Schizosaccharomyces pombe: one gene and its partners. Changing the gene in region 3 together with the main gene of any one other region gives a genetic interaction. Each region holds a gene or a part of one and is shown on either strand. Other genes may lie near its edges. The genes, in order: ksg1, xap5 and SPOM_SPBC215.11C.

Region 1 (8,273 bases), on a different chromosome or scaffold from region 3:
AACCGGTACAGTCTACAACCGAAGTGGAACTGAAGACTAATGAACTTGCAGAATCGAATTCCTCAGTTGCCGTAGAAGGGGATGAAAATTCCTATGCTGAAACACCTAAGAAGAAACACTCATTGATAAGGAAACGCCGTAAATCTCCACTTGATAGCTCGTCAGCCCAAAAGGTTTTAAAGAAAAACAAGCTAAACACTCTTGAACAAGCACAGCAAAATTGGTCAAAGTATATTAAGGAACAGGATATTCAAGATGAGCTTCGGATCGCCAATAAAGATGGTTATGTCGAGCGCCAGGAATTCTTAGCAAAAACCCGTGCTGCACATGAAGAAAAAATTCGAGAGATGAAAAAGTTGCCGTAACAAAATGGTTTAAAACTTAAAACTAGTATTTTTTTTAATGAAGAACCCCTTTTGTCTAAGACACCAGCCGGCAGCATTGAACGAGTCCATGTCGATTTTGCGTTTCTTCAACTACTTCACCTCCTCCAAGCCAGGAAGTCGTTGTCTTTCTAAAACTTCATTTGAAAATATCCAGATATTATTTAAATGTTTTATTTAATTGGATTAGGATTATTTGATGAAAAGGATATTACCTTAAGAGGCCTAGAAACAGTAAAAAAATGTCAGCGTATATATCTTGAGGCATATACGTCCATTTTGCTCGTTCAGAAGGAAAAATTAGAAGAACTTTATGGTAAAGAGGTTATCCTTGCTGATCGTGAAATGGTAGAGAGCAGTAGTGATGAAATCTTGAAAGACGCTGACAATTGTGATGTTGCAATGCTTGTTGTTGGTGATCCGATGGGGTATGTTTACTTGAAAGTACATGTTCCTTTTATTTATCTTTTTTTTATTTACTTTGAGAAATTTGACTCAGCTGTTTATTACAGGCTTTTAGCCCTTACGACAGCATCTCTCAGTTATTAAAAAAGCTTTGGTTTTTGCGAATTGTCTCTTTAAAGAACATTCAGTTTGTCATCGAACCCTATGATCTGTAAAGATTTAATTGTAGTGAATACTAATGACTCTTTAATTTGAGAACCCGTGCTTTTAATAATCGTTTATTTTTTATTGTATTACTAATTGTTTAGAGCTACCACTCATGCTGATCTAGTTATAAGAGCTCGTGAGCTTAAGATTCCTGTTCGCATGATACACAATGCCTCCATTATGAACGCTATTGGTGCATGTGGTTTACAACTCTACAAGTTTGGTCAAACAGTCAGTCTTGTCTTCTTCGAAAACAATTACCGTCCTCAAAGTTTCTATGACCACATTAAAGAGAACGTTAGTTTGGGACTTCATACCTTAGTTTTGCTGGGTAAGTTAATAGATTATAGTAGTTGGTGTTCTGACAATAAAAGATATCAAGGTAAAGGAGCAAAGCTGGGAAAATCTTGCTCGAGGCAGGAAAGTATACGAACCTCCTCGCTATATGTCTGCTAGTTTGGCTGCTCAGCAGATGTTGGAAGTCGAAGAGGATCGTCAAGAAAATAGTACGTTCATTTTAAAATGTTTTTCTATTAATTGTTAACCACCCTTAGTATGCACACCAGACTCTTTATGTGTGGCTGTTGGAAGAATGGGTTCCGATGATCAAGTTATATTTGCAGGCACATTGCAAGAGTTAGCTGAGCATGATATAGGTCCTCCATTGCACAGCGTGGTTCTCGTCGGTAGAGATGTTCACGATTTAGAATTAGAATTTCTACGTGCGTACGCAGTCAATCTCGAGAACTTTGATCGTGTCGCAAAAACATACTTGGAGAAGTAATTCATTATTTATCATACTAGTAAATTGATGCTTGAAGTTTTTTTTTCTGATATTAAGCGAAACCTAATTTTTATGTACAAGTCATACTTGCATAATTAACTTAATCTGTAGATTAATCATAAATTGAGAGAATGTACAACTGGCTTTTGGGAATAATTTCTTTAAATTTTTTTACTACGTAGGTAGAGGTATATTAACTAGTAAACGGTGAAATGTTCTTGGATCGATAACTTTTACCATTTTAACATTTTAAGGCTAAGGTAAAAAATATAAAATAAATAGATCCATAATAAGAATAAGCAAATAAAATCAATTGACCGTTAATAACAAAATACAGAAATCATACGGCAATCTAATTTTGTAATCACACTGAAGGATCACGGATATAAAGATTTTTTTTCGAATTAAACAACGAACGTAAGAGAAAAACTTAAAAAGAATTTCTTGAAACATCAATAAGGTCGTAAGAAAATTAATGCAGAACAGAACAGAAAAAAGAGTGATAGAATAAAAAGTGAGGGGATGGATGGAAGTGTTCATAGACATAAAGGATAGATTAGACAGCACTTCTAGCAATGCTTCTTGAAAAGCTGGTAACAGAATGATTACCGAATGGAAGAGAAATAGAGCTAGCCTTATCTAGAAGCTCAACCCAAGCAGAAGCCGGTCCATTCGGGTCTTCAAACGACCAGGATTTTGTTGGAGTCTCAACTACCCAGCCATGTTCATTGTTTTTTACCATCCGACAACGCATGCCTACACTCTTAATAGGTATTTCTTCTTTAACTGTTTTTCGCCCTTCACCGTCCGAGGCAACACACAGGTATCGACCAAAATTTGTAAGTATAAAGGTCCGAGGTTTCCTTTTTCGAAAAAGACTGGAGAAAAAGCGAAAGGCATCATTTCCATTGATACCAGACATACTATAAACATTGAGGGTTCCAATTTTTGAGATTTTTTCATCGTCTTGAAGAATACTCGACCATTCCTTGTTTTCCTCCTCAAGGTTGGATTGACACGGCAATAGAGTGCCTCGGTTAAAAGTACCAACCGGAGAGGGTGCAGCATTGGTGGATGCTGAAACCATCGATGGAACACCAAGAGGCGAGGTCAAATCACCATTTTCGTGTTTGTTAGATGCATTAGGAACGGAAAGGCTGAGGACGCTAGTATGACCAAAAGGTTTAAGACGGGGAGGAGGAAGTTCCCAAAGGGTATTATCAAATTTGATACCATTAAAAAACGGATGCTGGTGTATTTCATCAACAGTTAAGCGATCTTTAGGATCTAGAACTAGCAGTTTTTTAATCAAATCAGAAGCGACATCTGATATGTCAGGTGGTATCTCATAACTCAAATGAAGAATACTTTGGAATGTCAAATATTCATTTCCTGCTACAAAAGGGGGTTTGCCAGCTAGCATTTGGAAAAGAATGCAACCAAACGCCCAAATATCGGAAGCCGTACCAGCAATTTTATCACTTAAAACTTCAGGAGATACATAACGAGCAGTTCCTACAAACGATCGAGAATGAGCCTGTGGTTTGTCAGCATGGTGTGTGTCTTCTTCATGACTGCCATGTGAAGAGTTTAATATTTTTGCTGAACCAAAGTCGGTAATTTTTGTACGCATATTATCATCCAGCAAAATATTTTCGGGCTTCAAGTCACGGTGAATCACTCCTCGTCCATGCATATAGTCTATTGAGTCAACGATAAGTGCAGCATAATATTGTGCACATATTTCGTTAAATCGTCCCAACTAAATTATGTGTAAGCAAAAAATAAAACATTTAATAAGAAAAAAGACAAGATTGTAATAATCAGTAAGCTATCCATCATCAAGCTGCATGAACATTATTTATACATACCTTATTGATATAATCCAACAGTTCACCATTTCGAGCAAGACTCAAAACAAAATACAAATTGTGAGCATCTTGGAAAGTATAAAATAGCTTAATAAATCCAGGATGCTTAGAGAGGATGCACAAAGCTTCTTTTTCAATGTTGACGTATTTTTCCTTTTTTTCCTTGATAATATGTCTTTTATCCAACACCTTAATAGCATATTCTCTTTTTGTTGAGTTTTCGGTAGCTGTTAATACAGTACTGTATGATCCTTCTCCAAGGATTTCGCCAAATTTAAAATCCGAAACTCGTTTTATGTTAGGAGTCGATGCACCGCTAGACGGATTTGGAGTAGAGATATGTGGGACTGCAGAGGGAATCTTCGGCGATGAATCGATCTGAGACGTTGACTCATTTGGTGTAGTATTTAAAGCATTAGACTGCGGGATGGCACTATTTTGCGTCTTTGGTAATGAAGCTCGGTTTAGTTTTTCACTTGATCCATGATCAAAACTAAGGTCGGATTCGCTTTGAGTATCATTTTCTGCATCTTCTGATGCTTCAGTTTCATTCGGATTGTGCGTATTTCGCATAACCAATATCTGGTGTGAAGAGAGTACTGGGTAGGTGAATCAGTGTCAGTAAACTACGAATTGACGGCAATGTCATCAAAAGAAAATTGCACATATTCGGTAAAATTAGTGCTTATAACTGCAAGTATACAACTATTGTACTATTGTTATATAAGATTTTGCTATCCGGGTTATGATTTGCATCGTTGTGAGTGCGAAAATTAATATTGCATGGACATTTTAGATAAACTAAATATTCATTCATTTGATTTAGATCATGCTTTTTTTAGTAACTATAAGTTTATTTATTTTTTTAAGGAGCCTAGAGAAGTAGTTCATCAAGGTAATGATTTATATTACTATGTGAATCAGCGCTGAGTATACACAGTCATACGCAAATTCTTAATGGAGTAGAGAAAATCATTACATAAAAGTAAAAAAATTGTCAAACCAAGTATTTTCGTCTTGGCTGGTTGAATAGCATTACCTTCGGGTGTGGAATTCAATATGATTTAATTTCAATAACTTAAAAGATCACTTAGGTTTTAATGAATAACTCAGTTTATATACGAAGAGCATTAGAAGCTTTTATACCAGAATCGTAGCTGAATATGCGGGAAACATATTTTACTTGAATTTCAACTTACCGTATCAATTTTACAGAGAGAGAAAATTATGCACCATTCAGTTTATAAATATGAATTATTTGTTCAGCACAGAATCAAAAATAAAGTGCCATTGTTTAGAATTGCATTTTCCACTACACCTAATAGGAACAAAGTGTGTTTGATTTGTTTCAATTTAGTGTTGTAAACAATTCATTTTGGAGATATAACATAAAGAAAAGGGTTGGTATGAATGCCAATATCTTGCTAGCGAATTCATATATTTTGCTTACGAACAAATCTTCATTAAAGGACAACCAACGCAAGATTTAACTGAAGGATACCATCTTTATTTTAACTATTCTATAAATCAATTTTTGAGCCTTTTTTTTCTGGGGTATATGCGTGAGAGAAAATGAAGTAATTACGATATAGTACATTAAATGAGTTTTTTGTCCGTCAATATCCTTTTTAAAAAATTAGTTAGTAAAATAAAGAATGATAATGAAGTTTTACAAAAAAAAATTTGTTTATTGAGTATTATCTGGGTGAAAAACAAAGAAAATATAAAATTATAACTGGAATTAAAGAAACAAGACGTTCACAAACATAAATTAGCAAATTCAGAAAAAATTAAAAAAATTTAATAATAATGACATTTTACTATCAGCCCCCTCTGTTTATTTAAAATATTATATTTTTGGAAGGCATGTATACCAAAATATTTAGTATCTAATTTTTAAGTTGTGATGTAATAAATCATATTCCTATAATACAACGATTAACTTAGATGATTTAATTTTCAAAAATTTTTCATATTCATTTTCATTCGCCTGGACGGATATGAAATATATAAACTCCATTTGTCAGAAGATTAAACCATGTGAAATTGTGAAGGTAGCGCATTTTACACTTATTGTGAAAGACTGGAAATTGGTTGTTTTCGTTTCCAAATTGCAATTTTGTTTTTGTTAAGCCACTGACCTTGAAACATAATAATATTCGTGTAACACACAAAAAGAATCTAAATTTGGTATCATAAGTCGCAAGTCATAATTAAACTATCAAAAAGATCGAGTAAATAAAAGTAGTCCAACTGTAACAAAAGGATATTTTCAAATGATGAAAACTAGAGAATTCGAAATCGTAAATAAATGAGGATGTTTCGAATGTTTTTAATTACAGCATTCGGTTATATCAACCTTATTTAAAGTTCGCTTAAGCAGTCATTAATTCAATATTTATGGTCTTTATCCTTAAAGCAACTTTTCAAAATTTTCAAATATATAATGATATATCCCTTTCGGATTTCGATTCTCTTTATGTATATAGTCTTCCTTTCAACCAGGTCACTTTTAAAGAAGCAAGTGGTACAAATACGGTTTCCTAACGATAACGCTGTTTAAAGCATAGGAAATGAAAGAAGTGTCGTTGTGCGGTTTTACTGTCAGCTACACACTTTATTATCTACTTTAACGATACGTAAATTGCATTAATTCTTACCTGTAATCTATTATATTATAGATGCAGATTAACGAGTTCTTTTATGTAAGTATTCTTATAAATGAGTTATCCTGTTACCTATCCACTAAAGGTAGCTTAAAGTTAAACTGAGGACTAAGCCTCAATAGGAGCCGTATCTATATACTACAATAACACGCGCTTTAGTAAACTATCAACGAGGTCTTTTTTAACGTTGTATCATAGATGATATGATGTGTAAATAAAACATGTGACATATAGTGATACGCAACGTAGTGTGCCATATCGTAGTGCAGTATTCCTGACACATGTTATTACTATAACAAACCATCGTTCTGAATATTTTATTATGCTATTCATTATTTTGTAAACATTAATTTTGTTTGAATTGAACCATTAAACAAAAAGAAAAAATGATAATTAAGCTTGATTCATTAAGAATCAAGATGAAGGAGAAATGAATGCAATAAACGACAATGAATTTGTAAATTTAACAAGGCGGAACAACGAGTTTTTCGATTTCATTAGTTGATTTTAAGTTGTCGTAAACAAGTTAAACCATTATTGTTTGTGACTTGAGTACCATTAAAAAAGACACATAATTAGACTCGCATACATAATAAATAAAGACTTCGGTCCTCAATGCACATTATCCAACATCGTAGAATGCATTGGTTGGCAATTTTTGATAACTGGAAGAATAAGTTAAGCATATATTCCATAAACTTATAAAGGAAGAGGATGATTAAAGAATGTTGGTGCTTATTTTTAAAAAAACGCCGCAGCTTCTCTGCGTTGATGATTTTCGTAAAGAGGTTTTCCAACTGTAGCGACAACTACATTAATAACGCAATTATACTTCGCTTTCAACTTCCATTTCCCCCAAGGGAATGTCATTATTATCGTTGGCACCTCTAATCGCATTTCCTATCCGCCCACTTGCATTTCCTATACCTTCTAATCAGGTAAGTAAAAAATAATTCATAGAGTTTTTTTGAATACACATACCTAATATAAAACCTATAACATTCCCAGTAGTGTTGCGCATCCTCTTGAGTACACCTGGACGTTCTGATATGGTTAGAGTAAATTACAGGAATATATAACGAACCCATTTCGTAAAGAAAAAGAGCACAAACCCTTCGATTTCGTAGCCTCTCCATCCGAAATATTTACCAAATAAAGACATTGAACCGTTTACTAATAGTGCGATAATGCCATGTATACCCAACACTTGTAGCATCCCAGATAATGCACGGCAAAGTGTCCAAATTGGAATACAAACTGTATGTTAGCGTTTAGCAAGATAATTTCACTTACCAAGCAATAAAATGAAAAATAAAGCAGCCGAAATACTGCATGTGGAACAGATGAGTGCCTTATTTAAGTTTAGTCTACCATCCTTGACGCAACCAAAGAGTATAAAACAAATGACTACCCATGCGAACCAGATTGTAACCACTAAATCTTTTTTTGAGTTATACAAGCCGACCGCAATCACCTTTACACATTGTGCCAAGGAAATTACAGTCACCTTTATACATTGTGCCAAAAAAATTACAGTTACTTTGACTGCCTTGATCCAAGTTTCATAGAAGCCTAATGAGTTAGTGAATGAACGTAAGAATAGTCCTATCGTGTCACTTACACCATAAAGAAATAAAAATCATTAGGCAAATAGCATACCACACTCCAAAATATACCCATTCATCTTTGCCATAATCTTTAAAGAGAGCGTCCTTATACGTTAGATAACAAACTGCGGGTACGTTTAGCACAAAGATTGAAATGAATGATAAAAATGCTTTTTTCAACGGAGAGGTAGAAGAATTATCTGCCGTCCCGGAAGAATGGTTTTCTCTATGTGTGTTAGGAGGATTATTTACAAGTGCGTGATCTGTTTGAATTAATATAATGAAATACTTTAGTAAAGAAAGAACATGTATCAAAGTGTGTGCATTGCATGGCCGACTATAAACAATGA
Region 2 (7,338 bases), on a different chromosome or scaffold from region 3:
GAGAAAGCATCTCTAAATTTTTAGACAAAGTGATACTGCTAGCCGAAAAATAATGAAAGGTTGTTTTTCACGTTTATGTTTGTAATTAATGCGTACTAATCAAATCACATTTTCCTAATGTTTAGATGTGAGATTGGGGTTTTTGTAGGAATATATATTATTTTCTTAATTCATATTTATTTTTTTAATAATTGGCTTCACTTTGACTAAGCGTCATAAAAGAGATGGTATTTTCAACCGATAGAATAAAAGAGTTGTTTAAATGGGAATATACATCGCTAGATCTTTTCCAGTATATTTTTTACAAAGTGCAAAACTATCTTCAAAGTAATATGAAAACATATAAGTGATAAGGCGTATTGCAAGGATTACAATTATTTTTGGACATTTACACCTATGAATTTGGGTAAATCTATGTATGAATCAAACAAACTATAGACAGCAGAGATAAAGGCTCTATAAATGCACCCACGTTTACTCCTATTAATCTTATAAAATTTTAGCACAGAATTAATTGTGTAAAGTGATAATTAAGGCAGGATTGAAAGTTGCGTTTCGACAAAAAAAAATATATATTTATATATAAGTGTGTATAACTCGTAAACCAAGAATGTTAGATGCGATCACCTTTATCCATTATATATAAATTTGATTTCACAAAAACTCATATCATATTGTAAACAATTAAATAAACACGGTAAGCATCTTTACAAGTTCACAAAAATCGTTAAATTGACTTAAGCTTTGTAATATATTTTTGTCGTTTCTACTTTTAGGAGAAACATACTGAAACTGACAGAACTCTTTAAGGAGCTTCAAAATTTTTGCGAATCTCGTTTTATCAAAATCGGTTGATTCTGCAATTTTGATTTAAGTGGTACGCTATTCTTTGTAGAACTGTTTACATTTTGATCAAACAGAACGCGACCCCCAACACCGAGATATATGCAAGAATCATCCCAGGAGGAGCCTGTGCACTATGTTCAGTGGTTTTACCTATCCAATTACGACCTCTACGATGAGACTTCTTCTATGGAGTTGACTGGGGCGCAGTCCTGGAGGCGGTTTTTGAACTACGATAATAACGCTTTAGAAGCAAAATACAATGAAATTATTACAGAGGAGGTGTCTCAAGAGCCAAATCAGAAGAATGTAACTAATTTTTTAATCTATATGTGAGCTTAACTAACGAGCAGGTCATTGTTGGAATTTCTGGGCTTCATGTGGTAAACTTACCTACTCTTACTTTAAAGCCTCTATACTGGCCAAGTGCCAGTAAAAATGATACCTTACGAGTCGTTCGCGGTCTTTGGATGTACGAAGATACGGGTCTTCCTGTAATCAATGAATTGTCGGATATGTTAGAAGAGGGCTACCAGGAAGTGAAGCCATACGCCGTTAACTGGGATAATGTTTTAAAAGAAGAAGAAGAAGGGAAGGATTCTCAAGATGATCCTTCTGTATTGTCTCATAAACGTAACAAGTCCTCTAAGGAATTAATTGATGCGATGCAATGGCCTCTTAAACCTACCTCCTCTGGCAAATATGTATTTTACGAAGACGGATATAGAGCACTCATTTGTCAAGGAGGTTTGTTATCCTATTTTTCAAAAGGGACTCAATCTCGAAGGACCAGTATTAAAGGTATGCCGGTCGTTCGAGATTTTCCTTACTTTGAAGATGATGGTTTTAATGGACCTAAACAAGTTACAGATCTTTTTTTGGTGGTTCATGGTATCGGTCAAAAAAGATCAGAGACTGGTAAGTAAACTTGATTTTTTTTTATCTTACACCGGCATTCAATTACTAATGTTGACAATATAGAGGAACGATTCTTATTTACCAAGACGTGCAACGTTTTTCGTTCATTGATCCAAATTCAGAAAAACATAATGAAAGAGGATCCGTTGATTCGAAACGATTATGAACCACAACTTCTTCCGATATGTTGGAGAAATAAGCTTAATTTTAATTCATATATAAAGCCAGTTGCCGGTGATGAAGGACGGGTTGAGGATGAAGAATTTGAAGAAAATCGATTTTCAATTGAGGATATTGAAATTGATAGCATTCCAGCGGTGCGAAGGTTATTAGGAGATGTGATGAGTGATATTCCCTATTATATGTCTCATCACAAAGAATCCATTATAAAGTCTGTAATTCGTGAAGCTAATAGGGTTTACCATTTGTGGAAGGACTGCAATCCTTACTTTTTAGAAAACAAGGGCCGTATCTTTATAATTGGGCATTCTTTGGGCTCCACAGTTGTTTTTGATATTTTGTCACTTCAACCCACTTTTGTCAAAGAAATTACTATAGACGATGATGAAAGCTGCTTTATATTCGACACAAACGGTTTTTTTTGTTTTGGTGGTCCGGTAGGTTTTTTTTTGCATTTGAATCAACAAAGTATTATTCCTCGTCGTGGAAGAGGCTCATCAAGATACGAAATAAATAAAAACTTTATAAATTCTGATGTTCCAAAGTCATATACTTACGATGGTTATGATCGGTACGGATGTCTCGCAGTCGACTCTTTTTATAACATCTATAATCACCTTGATCGTAAGCGCATCATTAAATTATCGTATTTACTAACAAATTAGCCGTTGCGATGCGATTAAATCCCACAGTGGATCTCTCATTTTCGAAAGGCATCCACCCAACTCGTATACTGTTCACAAGAAAATCTTCAAGTATTTTGAGAATGATCTCACATTCTAATACTGATCCTGTGGAACTTCGAAGTTACAATCAATCTTTGCAGCAAAATAAAAACAATGAGCCCACAGCAGTGGTCCCACTGGAGCCTGAACAGACTGTCGAGTTAGAGACTCGCAATTTTCGCAGAGAAGAAAGGGCCAAGTGGCGCATGCAAGAGTTGAATGAAAACTCTCAGTTGGACTACGTATTTACGAGTGCCCATGGGGTCATTTCAAACAAATATCTTTCTATGCTTTCGGCTCATAGCAGTTACTGGAGTAGTGAGGATCTTGCTTGCTTTTTAGTAGTGGAAACTGGCCGAAACTTTGGTATTGCCAATTCAATTGAGCAATTTCGTGGAAAGCATATGCCACGTATATTCAAAGGGGACAGCTCTTGAAAATTTTCTTTTTATTTTATCTGACAGTATACCAGCGAGCTTCATATTTATTAGCGATGCGAAGTGGACAAATTAAAATGAATTTGATGAACATTGGATAATGATGATTTTTTAGGATCACTTTAATGACTTTATATATTGGCATTCGAAAGATGGTTTTGCATTCAATGACCAGATACGAAAATTTATTAGAGTATTTATAGCAACACTAGTGATTAGCTAGTTTTTTTTTTGTTTTTAATCTATTGCTATTTTTCCAAAGCTTGTTAATACAAACGAGTAATTCGTTTTATTTGTCTCTAGATTGGTTTTAAAAAGTGTCTATACAAGCAGTTAAAGATTACAGAATGCTTCAAAGTGCCCCACCTCGTTGTTATTCTATTTAATAACCGTTTTGACAAATATAAAAAACTTATATGCAACGTGACTTTGGCAAAGTGTGCGTTTATTCTAGGATCCCTCATAGGTAAATGTAAAAAACATGTTCTTCTTCTACGATAAATATAGTAATAGTCATTTCTTTCATTTTGAGATTTGAAAACCGAGGCAAAAAAAGGGTATTTTGGGTATTCAAGCTTATTTGGAAGAACGCTCACCACTCACGTTTTTTTGAATTCTTCATACAATGAGCGGCCATACTGATGCCGATGAAATTCATGAGATTTTACGAAATAGTACGACTGGTTTAGTCCATTTAAAGGATTATCAAAGAGTAAAACAAAACATCGTTGAAAAACGAGAGAAACATGCGCTATCAACCACAAGTACTAAAATGTAAGTGAAAAGAACGAGAAAAGCCCGATAGTATTCTAAATATGACTGACAATTCAATTTTAGAAAAAAGAGAAAAGATGCTTTAAGCAAAAAGGTCAAACAGGGCATTAAAGTTAACAAAGGAAAACTTTCTTTTGGTGAAGATGAAGAACTGGAGAATGATGATCTACCTTTAAAAAAAGTTGAGAAAAAAATGTTTATGGGAAAGGATCCATCTGCGGATACCTCCTTTTTGCCAGATGCAGAGCGAGAAATACGTGAAAACGCGAAGCGAGCCGAATATCGCAAACAATGGCTAAAAGAGCAGGAGCAAATTCGGGAAAAAGAGATTTTGATACCATTTATCTATTACGATGGAACAAGTACCACTTATCATGTAAGGACTAGATTGAAAGATTCGGTTGGACACTTTCTTGCTGATATGAAACAGCAAATCCCATTTTTGAAGAGGATTCTGGATATGGATAAATTTTTACTGGTTCAATCTGATTTAATCATTCCCCATCACCATGAGCTTTACTACTTTTACATTAATAAAGTTCAAGGACGTGATGGACTTTTATTTGACTTTGATAAGCTGTCATGCTCTAGTCCAGAAATGGTTGCAACTACACAACTTCCTTCTCAATGCATTCCTCATCTAGTTCAAAAATCATATTATTTACAAAATCGCCATGTGTTTCCATGTGTGCATTGGGAAGTCTTTGATTCTCGAAAAGATTATTCATTGGAAAAGCATGCAACTGATCCTAACGCTGCATTATTTTACCGGCCCTCATAATGCCTTTTAAAAAGTTTTCGATTTTTTTTCTCTTGGTTCTTTATTTTTGTTTTGCATACTCATACTTCCCTCATCGACTAATTTAATAACAATTTCATTACAACTATATTGTTTTTATGTTTGTATTTTAAACAAATGAATTGCGCCAAACATATAACTTGATAAGCTATACAAAGAGAGAGACTTTGGTAAAAAAGAAACAGATATTATCCACTAAGTATTCGCAATGGGTTTTAGTATTTACACTTACTACTCTCAACATCACTCCAACCTTGACTGAAAACCTTGATTTCATTGATGTGCTATAGGATATTGTAAAATAAAGTAATTAAAAAATTAGCAATTCGCTTTTGGAATTATTAAATGTTTCCTTTATTATTGAATTCTCATATTTCTGCTTGTTTTTATTTAATGTATCGCAGCGTTGGTATGCAAATACATAGTATTTGATCATAAACATATTAACGATACGTTAATTTGCGGTGGATTATACTGTGCTATTTAGGTATACAATTTTTGGTAAAGAAAAAAGTGATCGTGACTGAATGATGAGAATAACTATTCTATTGTAAATAAGAAATGAAATTCGCTTTTCGTTCTCTTGGAAGTATAAGCATGTCGCTTTTACGAATGTTCACGAGTCTCTAATCCTTTCGGTATACTGTAAACAATCTAGTATGTAACGTTTCATCCACCATTTTCAAGTTTTAGAATTAGAAAACCAGTAATACAGGAAATATAAGATGATACTTTTTTCTAAAACAAATAAATATGAAAAATCGACCTTGATGTAAAACGAGAACCTCTTTTAAACAATGCGATTTCCCAATATCCTAGTAATTAGCCCATTTCTGTTCAAAAAAATCAAATGGAAAAAAATAAAGTACTCAATTGTATTGAATAAACTATTTCACCCTCCAAACTAGCCAACATTCAGCCCAAGCAAAAAGTAATGCTTTTTCCCATATCCATATCGCTTGTAGCTTTACATGAAAGATTGGCAATTACGCAGTTTGCAAAATGCTTTTAAGGATACGTCAAGCTGCGAAAAAATTACGTTCCTACTAAGTCCTTATGTAGTTAATACCGCAGTATAAAGATGCGTTATCCATCATTTTTTGGTTATAATTCTACAAGCGGTGAACTCAACTAAACATCAGAATTGTTCATAAGCTAATATGGAAAGGGATAAAGGCGTCGCTCCAATTGTTGTAGAAAATGTTGCATATAATGAACAGGTAAGAAATGATTGCAGAGCTAGATTTTCTTGGTACTAGTTTTTTTAAGGATTTTATAATTGAGTGCTAATGAATCCAAAGGTCGTTTCTTTTGTTCGAAACTTGACTTCTAGTTTTTTCGGGTGCGCAGCTGGTATTTTGGGTTTAACTTCATATGAAGGGCTTGCTCTGTATGTACTCGGTTACTTCTTCGTCTCCTTTCTACTCTTTGCATTGAAAATGCGTGGTAACTTAACTAAGTATTACCAGCCCGGATATAAGTTTTGGATCGCTAAAATATTAGATGGCGCACCTTCTTATGTTTTAACTTGGACATTGTTCTACAGTTTAGTATATGGTAAGAAACTTGCTCGATCGTTGCTATTTTATTTTGTTTGAATAGTCAGATCTCGCATTGAAACAATTACACGCTAACTAAGTCATTAGTTTATGAGTAATGTGTTTAATTTGATTTATGCATTTGGCAATTAATCCAAGATGAACCCTCCTTATTCTTGTTCAGCCCTTTCGTTAATAACACATATACCTCATTAAGATCTATTGTTTGAGAAAAAAGTGGATCTCTTCCTTTTGTTCGTGAACCCATCCTATAAATATTTTGTATTTCCTAATAAAACACAAATCTAACTGTTTTTTTACATTTCTTTACTTTTCCTATAGAAAATAGGATATTTGTTTAAAATATATTTGTCCTGTCAGCGATGCTAGAACATAGCACACACATTCCGTTGTATTCATGTCGTCTTCCTTAAATTTGATTTCGAAAACTTTGCATGAGATATGTTCTACTTCTTTAAGAAATTGTCTCTAGTGCTTAAAAACTAGCTGCTTCAGGGCACATGGATGCCTAGGCATTTATTTTTTGAACACGTGTTTTACCATTATTATACAGTTGAAGTAAACACTGCATATATTCAATATTTGCAACAACTTTGACAACGGTTGAAAAGGACAAAATATCATATTCAAACACGATCTTTGAAAATTTTGAGACTAATGAATTGTATTGTATTATCTAAACTTACTAAAAAATGAAAACCAAATTCAAAGATGCGACAATTTTACATTTATTTTCAAAATTGTAGAGATATTTTTAATCTACCACAGTAGATTTCCCCTATTTACCATATAAATAACTCATAAACAAGCTAACCTCACAAAGACAATAATAATAATATAATAACCAAAGAAAGAAAAAAAAAATCACCAACAATCATAAAGTTGAGCTGATAAAAAAGGGACTGACTATTAAATAGAGGAGATTATAGTAAGAAATTGAAATGTCCCTAATAATCAAAGAATAAAGTATTTTTTAACATAAAAAAAGTCTGAAAAGAAAACTAAGTTACACCGTCAACGATTAAGAGATTAGCTCATTAACAAGCCACCACATTATTCATTTTTTGGTATCGTTTAACAGATCACCAATATCCAAGGCGACT
Region 3 (7,157 bases):
GTTGAGCCTAAAAAATTATTATTATTGAAAAAAAGCATAAAAGGATTAATCAAGCAATTAAAAGGCCACGGTTGAAATACGAAGCCAACTGAGAAGAGATTTATTCGAAATGGTAAACAAAAAAAATAAAAAGAAAGCTATTCTTTGCTTTCTATATAAGTTTGAGTTAATGAATTTTAGTATTAAAATAAAATTTAATGATTAAATATGACAACTTGATAAATTGATAGATCCAACTAAATATTATTACCTTTTTCTTTGTTTACTTTTATTTTTCCAGCTCATTTCCAGCTCATAATTAATTTCTACATAAGGACATCGCTAGTTAGAAGTTTAATAAGGAGTCTTACAATGTCTATACGACGGTGAATTAGTTCCTGTGTAGTCTCTGTTCTGGTGAAACTGTAAGTGTAGCGAAAGGCAACTGCTCTGGGCTCAAGGTCCCAAAAGTATAGTTGTACTAATGTCAAAGAACTTCCCACAGTTTGAGCTACAGAATTTCACGTAGCAGAAAAATGTATAATAAAAATCCTAATGAAAAAATTTCAAAGAAAATAAAGAAAGGAAAATTAAATAATCTCTCCATCTTTTTTTGAACAAAGCTAGCGTTAACTTGTTGTCTAAATAATTTTTTGCATTTTTTGTTTACATGTTTATTCAAACAGCTGTTTGCTCTTCTTTCCTTCTCACTACAAACGCATACCCTTCATTTTACAAACCCTCCATACTCGTCTTGCCGTACAATATCTCTTTCTGTTTTAATAACGCGCCGGAGTGGGATCGAGATCTTGACTACCGAAGGTCCGGCATTCAACATGCTTTTGTCATCCCAAAAGTGGGGAATGCTACTTAAAGTTATTTAAACACCCCACAACCTTTGTATTCACAAACCAAAGGGATCACCTCAGCTGTGAACGACAGGTACGCTTCTTCAATACAGCAATATTAGTCAGCAAGTTATATTGTATCTGTGTCATCTTTCGGGCTATAAATACAAATACGATAGATCATTGTGGGTATTTGTGAAAACAGTTACTTTGATTTTTAAATAAATTGATCAATTGTTTATCATAGACAGGTAAATTGGACGTTAACAGTGTTTTGATTAAAAATCTCATACAAAAAAGAAAGATGCCGTCTAAAGAAATTGACATTAATCAAAAGAAAAACGTCTTACCTAAACCGGAGGATATTCAACTCATTATCTGTGATGTTGATGGTACTTTGCTGGGACCGGATCATAAGCCACATCCGCGAAACCTTCGTGCTTTAAAGTATCTTCGTGAAAATTATCCTCAGCTACCTTTTGTGTTAGCTACTGGTAGACAGCGAACATCCGTAGGTAATATCAGAGAAGCGTTAGGTTTACATGTCTTTCCTTGTGTTCACCTTAACGGCTGCGTAGTTTACGATAAAGGTGAAATCGTTGCTTGCGCAGCTCTTAAAAACTCTTTAGCCATCGATATTATTGATAAGCTCAAAGACATCCAAACGTGTGCACTTTTCGGTTACGATGAAGATTACGTTTACCAAATTAAACAGGAATCGGATAAAAAACAACATGGTATTAAGTTTTTGCGACTCTGTGGGGAAACAGTAAAGGACGACGCCAATGAAATGCTCCCTCAGCTTAAGGGCCCGAAAGACATCTTCAATAAAATGGTAGTTTTTGATGATGATACTAACGGCCTTGAAGAAGCCAAAAAGCGACTGGCTGGCATTCCTTCGGATGAAGTTGCTCTTACCCAAGCGCTTCCCCAGACTTTTGAAATAATTCCTCCCAATGATAACAAAGGGGTTGCGCTCAAGAATATTCTTTCAAAGATTTATCCATCCATTAGCTTGGAAAACGTCCTAGCTTTTGGTGACGGAGCAAATGATGTTTGCATGTTTGAATTGGCAGGCTATTCCGTAGCCATTCGTAGTGGAATGCCTGTCGCCTTAAAGGCAGCCAAGGCAATTTCCGACGTTTCAAGTGCTGAAGGTGCCGTTGGTGAAGTGTTGGAACGAATTTATAATATCCCTCCTGATTTTAATTAAATTTAACAACCTATATAGTATCTTTTTCCTGTTTAAATTATAACAAAAAAAATTCAATATCTAATTCCCATACAATAATAAATATCAAAATAACGAAAATTACAATACATATTATATATAAGCATTCGTAAACTTCTTTATTTACGTAGCCGCGGGTATAACTATTTTTCTGTGAATGCCGTGTATTTTTACTTTAGCATGTTAAAAACTGCTTTCTCTTAAACAGTGCCTTGTAGACCTTACGAGGAATATGAAAAATCAATACAAAAAGATGCTTTTAATTTAATCATGAGATCATTTTATAACATTATCAACATATGGAAATTCCAAACATCGTGGCATTAGTAAGTTTCCATAGAAAGAAAAAGAGAAATCTAAGAAGACTTTTTCTTCTCCTCTTCTTGACGCTTAGCATCTTCGCTTTTACCCTCCTCATCCAATTTGGCAAACACCTCAGAAGATAATTGGATTCCAGCGGCCTTGACGTTTTCTTCGAGATGATCTACTTTGCTAGTACCAGGAATAGGTAGCATAACCGGACTGCGTTGTAAAACCCAACTCAAAGCTATTTGACTAGTGGAACGATCAAGGTCTTTTGAAACAGCGTCCAGGATGGTTCCGGGTTTGGCTAATGCTCCTGAAGCTAAGGGATACCAAGGAATAAACGCAATTCCCTTCTGTTCACAATATTCTAACACTTTCTCATTCTTACGATTGACAAGGTTGAATAAGTTCTGAACACTAACTACCGGAAAATACTGTTCAGCTTCTTTGATATCGTCTACTGTAACCTCACTCAATCCAACATGGCGAATCAATCCTTCTTTCTTCATAGCTGCAATTTCAGAAAATTGGTCTTTGCGAGGAACCTTGGGATCGATGCGATGTAGTTGCCAGAGGTCAATTTGCTTAACTCCAAGTCGACGCATGCTCATAAGTACTTCTTGACGTAAAAATTTGGGTGCTCCACAAGGATGCCATTCATTTGGACCTGTACGAACAAGGCCACCCTTGGTAGCAATTATAAGTCCTTTGTAAGGGTATAAAGCTTCTCGTAAAAGATTCTCGCTGACCTCAGGGCCGTAAGAATCGGCGGTATCAATAAAGTTAATATTGAGTTCAGGCAAACGTTTTAAAGTTGCGATGCAAGCCTCTTTGTCTTTGGGTTCATCCCATATACCATCACCGGTAACTCTCATTGCTCCGAATCCCATTCTATTGACAACCATGTCGCCAACCTTGACAGTCCCAGCTTGTGAAGCATCTACGGCGGAAGAAGCTGCAGTTTTACTCATTTTTGTGTCTTTTGTCGCTTTTCTTAGAAATCAAGATCAAGTACTATAGTGGATCCGGTAAGTGTGGGATGTCAGACGCCGTTTCCTTTTATAGTAATTTTACATGGTGTATTCCTTACATAAGCTGGATTGATGCGGACTATCTTAAACCACGAAAACTGATTTATTACATACCCTATTTACAGAATCCAGTGGTATGATGTAAGAGCGCGTTAGACAATATATTGTCATAACGATGACTAATACTATTATAGTACGATATTGCTGGTTGGATTTTGAATTAGAGTAAATAGCTAAGTCCTTTTTGATTTGGCTCTTATTCAATTTAATGATAATTTTATGGTTCCAAAATCTGATGCTGGATGAATTGTCTAAACTGTATCTCTGTCTTCTTTTGCCAGCCCATTTTTATTCATGAGCAACGATGGTCGCACATAACGATAATGATCTTTATTGCTATGTTTCTTTCTATTCAAGATAATGTGGATTTATATTTTCCATCTTCTTGAATTATGCTTGATCGTGCTATCAAATCGTACTACGAGTTATCATTTGGAGACCACAAATGGGTTGACCAGTTCCGTAAATCGAGGTAAACATTGCACATAATAACAATTCTAGGACTGTATTTGAAAGGAAACACATTTTTTGAATTTAGTTGATGATGCCAGTATATTATTAGTGTTATTGACATTCAGCAATTTGTTGTGTGTTTTATAAACACACTAAATACTTTGTACAGTTGCAAAACTTGCGCTCTAAAAATGTTTGCACCGCACTTTTACAATGGCTATTTACTCTTACTATTGTCTTCGAAAAGCTTATAAATTTGGCTGCTAAACATGGGTCGGTAGCTCAAATCGTAGACATAACCAGTCTTTTAAGGTCTCAATTACACCCATGTACGACTTTTAAGGAGGAAGTTGGTAAATAAAAAAGTATATTTGGTTTTCAATAATTACGATTCATTCCTTTCTATCAAAATGAGACGATGTCGTTCTTCGGCAACCTTAAAGAGTGTAGTGGAAGTTACTGAGCCGATCATATCTCGTTTAGAGAGTATAAAGACAATGATTTCTCTAGCTCATTATCAAAGCTTAACGAGATATAAATCGCAGTTGAGACATGAATGCGCTAAAGCTCGAAAACTTGGTTACACTTTACTTCAAATTTGGTAATTACCAAAAGTTGTGCATTGTGGGTACTTGGCAGTAACTGATGATGGAAGAGGATTTATATGATGAGTAAGTGGTCTAAAAACATTTTATAGTTATTTCTAACTCGCCAGGTTTGGAAATTACATAGGCCCTGAAAATGAAGAAGATGAAGAGGAGCTGTTTCCTCAGGCTCCTAGCCCTACAATTGCACAGGTACCATCCTTTGAAGAGGTCATTCCTGATGAAGAATTAGAAGACGTTGAAAGGGCCGAGGAAATGGCGTTGAGTCATCTAGAGCCTCAGAATGCCGTTGTTCTTCACGAGGATAAACAATATTATCCTAGCGCTGAAGAGGTATATGGGTCCAACGTGGATATCATGGTTCAGGAACAGGATACTCAACCCTTAAGCCAGCCCATTATTGAGCCAATTCGTCACAAAAGGATTGCTATAGAAACAACAAACGTCCCAGATACTGTATACAAGAAAGAGTAAGTATGTGTAACAATGTCTTTTCTAACTTTTTAAGGTTCCTCTTCGGTCTCTTAACTGGGACAGATGACGTTAGATCTTTTATTGTTGCTGGCCATCTGCATCACGGCAAAAGCGCTTTATTAGATTTACTCGTTTATTATACCCATCCTGACACCAAGCCGCCAAAAAGGCGTTCACTTCGATATACCGACACTCATTATCTTGAAAGAGAACGTGTGATGTCTATAAAAAGTACTCCACTTACGCTCGCAGTTTCTGATATGAAGGGTAAGACGTTTGCATTTCAGTGCATCGATACGCCTGGTCATGTCGATTTTGTTGATGAAGTCGCTGCTCCTATGGCCATAAGTGATGGTGTTGTATTAGTCGTTGATGTTATTGAAGGTGTAAGTTATTCTGGCCTTTTCTTGCGTTTTGAAGATATAAAGATTCTAACATGCTTTAGGTGATGATTAACACCACTAGAATTATCAAACATGCGATTCTTCACGATATGCCAATTGTGCTCGTCTTGAACAAAGTTGATAGGTTAATCCTTGAGCTACGTCTCCCTCCGAATGATGCTTACCATAAACTTCGACACGTTATCGACGAAGTAAACGATAACATTTGCCAGATTAGTAAAGATTTGAAATATCGCGTTTCTCCTGAGTTAGGGAACGTTTGTTTTGCTTCATGTGATCTTGGATATTGTTTTACATTGTCTAGTTTCGCAAAACTCTATATAGATAGACATGGAGGTATCGACGTGGACTTATTTTCTAAAAGATTGTGGGGGGATATTTATTTCGATTCGAAAACCAGAAAATTTGCCAAACAGTCCTTGGATGGCTCTGGCGTTAGAAGCTTTGTCCATTTCATATTAGAACCGTTGTATAAATTACATACCCTTACTATTTCTGACGAAGCCGAAAAACTCAAAAAACACTTATCTTCTTTCCAAATTTATTTAAAACCCAAGGATTATTTATTAGATCCTAAACCACTCTTGCAACTAATTTGCGCATCGTTTTTTGGATTCCCCGTTGGTTTTGTGAATGCAGTTACTAGACATATTCCATCGCCTCGAGAAAATGCCGCTCGTAAAGCCTCTCAATCATATATTGGGCCTATAAACTCTAGTATCGGCAAGGCTATCTTAGAAATGAGTCGTGAGGAATCAGCACCATTAGTCATGCATGTTACTAAACTTTACAACACCGTCGATGCTAATAATTTTTATGCATTTGCTCGTGTATATAGTGGTCAGGTTAAAAAGGGTCAGAAAGTTAAAGTTCTTGGAGAAAATTATTCTTTAGAAGACGAAGAGGATATGGTGGTTGCTCATATTGCTGAAATATGTGTACCTTGCGCACGATATCGTCTTCACGTTGATGGAGCTGTTGCCGGCATGCTAGTTCTTTTAGGAGGTGTTGATAACTCTATTAGCAAAACAGCAACCATCGTTTCGGACAATTTGAAAGATGATCCTTACATTTTCAGGCCAATTGCTCACATGTCCGAGAGTGTTTTCAAGGTGGCTGTAGAGCCACACAATCCATCAGAATTACCAAAACTACTTGATGGCCTACGAAAAACAAACAAAAGCTACCCACTATCTATCACAAAAGTAGAAGAATCTGGGGAACATACTATTTTCGGTACTGGTGAGATGTATATGGATTGTCTACTTTATGATCTTCGGACTTTATACTCTGAAATCGAAATCAGAGTTTCCGATCCAGTTGCTCGTTTCTGTGAGACTGCGGTGGACACATCAAGTATCAAGTGTTTTTCAGATACTCCAAATAAAAAAAATCGTATCACAATGGTAGTTGAGCCATTGGAGAAAGGAATTTCTAATGACATTGAAAATGGAAAAGTTAATATCAATTGGCCTCAAAAAAGAATCAGCGAATTTTTCCAAAAGAACTACGATTGGGACTTACTAGCTTCACGTTCCATCTGGGCTTTTGGTCCCGATGATCGTGGTACGAATATATTGCGGGATGATACTCTTAGTACAGATGTTGATAAAAACGTGCTTAATAGCGTAAAAGAATACATTAAACAAGGTTTTCAATGGGGGACTAGGGAAGGTCCTCTATGTGATGAGACAATCCGAAACGTGAATTTTCGCCTGATGGATGTAGTGCTTGCACCTGAACAAATTTATCGAGGAGGTGGTCAA

The links.
Region 1: mutations in SPOM_SPBC215.11C (region 3) and ksg1 together harm fitness more than expected from each alone (negative genetic interaction), as found in Schizosaccharomyces pombe (one large-scale study listed by BioGRID).
Region 2: mutations in SPOM_SPBC215.11C (region 3) and xap5 together harm fitness more than expected from each alone (negative genetic interaction), as found in Schizosaccharomyces pombe (one large-scale study listed by BioGRID).

What each region holds. Positions count from the first base shown.
Region 1 is NC_003421.2:2,102,036-2,110,308, forward strand, and holds ksg1 (serine/threonine protein kinase Ksg1), read right to left. Parts: upstream 4,256-8,273; 5' UTR 4,224-4,255; coding exon 3,651-4,223; intron 3,542-3,650; coding exon 2,336-3,541; 3' UTR 1,903-2,335; downstream 1-1,902. Other genes in the region: Swr1 complex subunit Swc5, read left to right, coding at 1-365; diphthine synthase Dph5, read left to right, coding at 552-811, 1,097-1,326, 1,370-1,501, 1,550-1,779. UniProt on the Schizosaccharomyces pombe protein: Involved in the control of sexual development and cell growth under stressed conditions. Phosphorylates AGC kinase gad8 at 'Thr-387', activating gad8 kinase activity and promoting sexual development.
Region 2 is NC_003421.2:751,529-758,866, forward strand, and holds xap5 (splicing factor, xap-5-like protein), read left to right. Parts: upstream 1-3,723; 5' UTR 3,724-3,728; coding exon 3,729-3,877; exon of another isoform or gene 3,878-3,940; coding exon 3,941-4,658; 3' UTR 4,659-4,762; downstream 4,763-7,338. Other genes in the region: SPOM_SPCC1020.13C (DDHD family phospholipase), read left to right, coding at 946-1,152, 1,197-1,761, 1,825-2,565, 2,607-3,103; protein Emc6, read left to right, coding at 5,837-5,896, 5,978-6,233, 6,323-6,333.
Region 3 is NC_003423.3:4,048,048-4,055,204, forward strand, and holds SPOM_SPBC215.11C (aldo/keto reductase family protein), read right to left. Parts: upstream 3,395-7,157; 5' UTR 3,336-3,394; coding exon 2,415-3,335; 3' UTR 2,313-2,414; downstream 1-2,312. Other genes in the region: odr1 (haloacid dehalogenase-like hydrolase ), read left to right, coding at 1,132-2,040; GTPase Cwf10, read left to right, coding at 4,554-4,579, 4,624-4,983, 5,022-5,373, 5,433-7,157.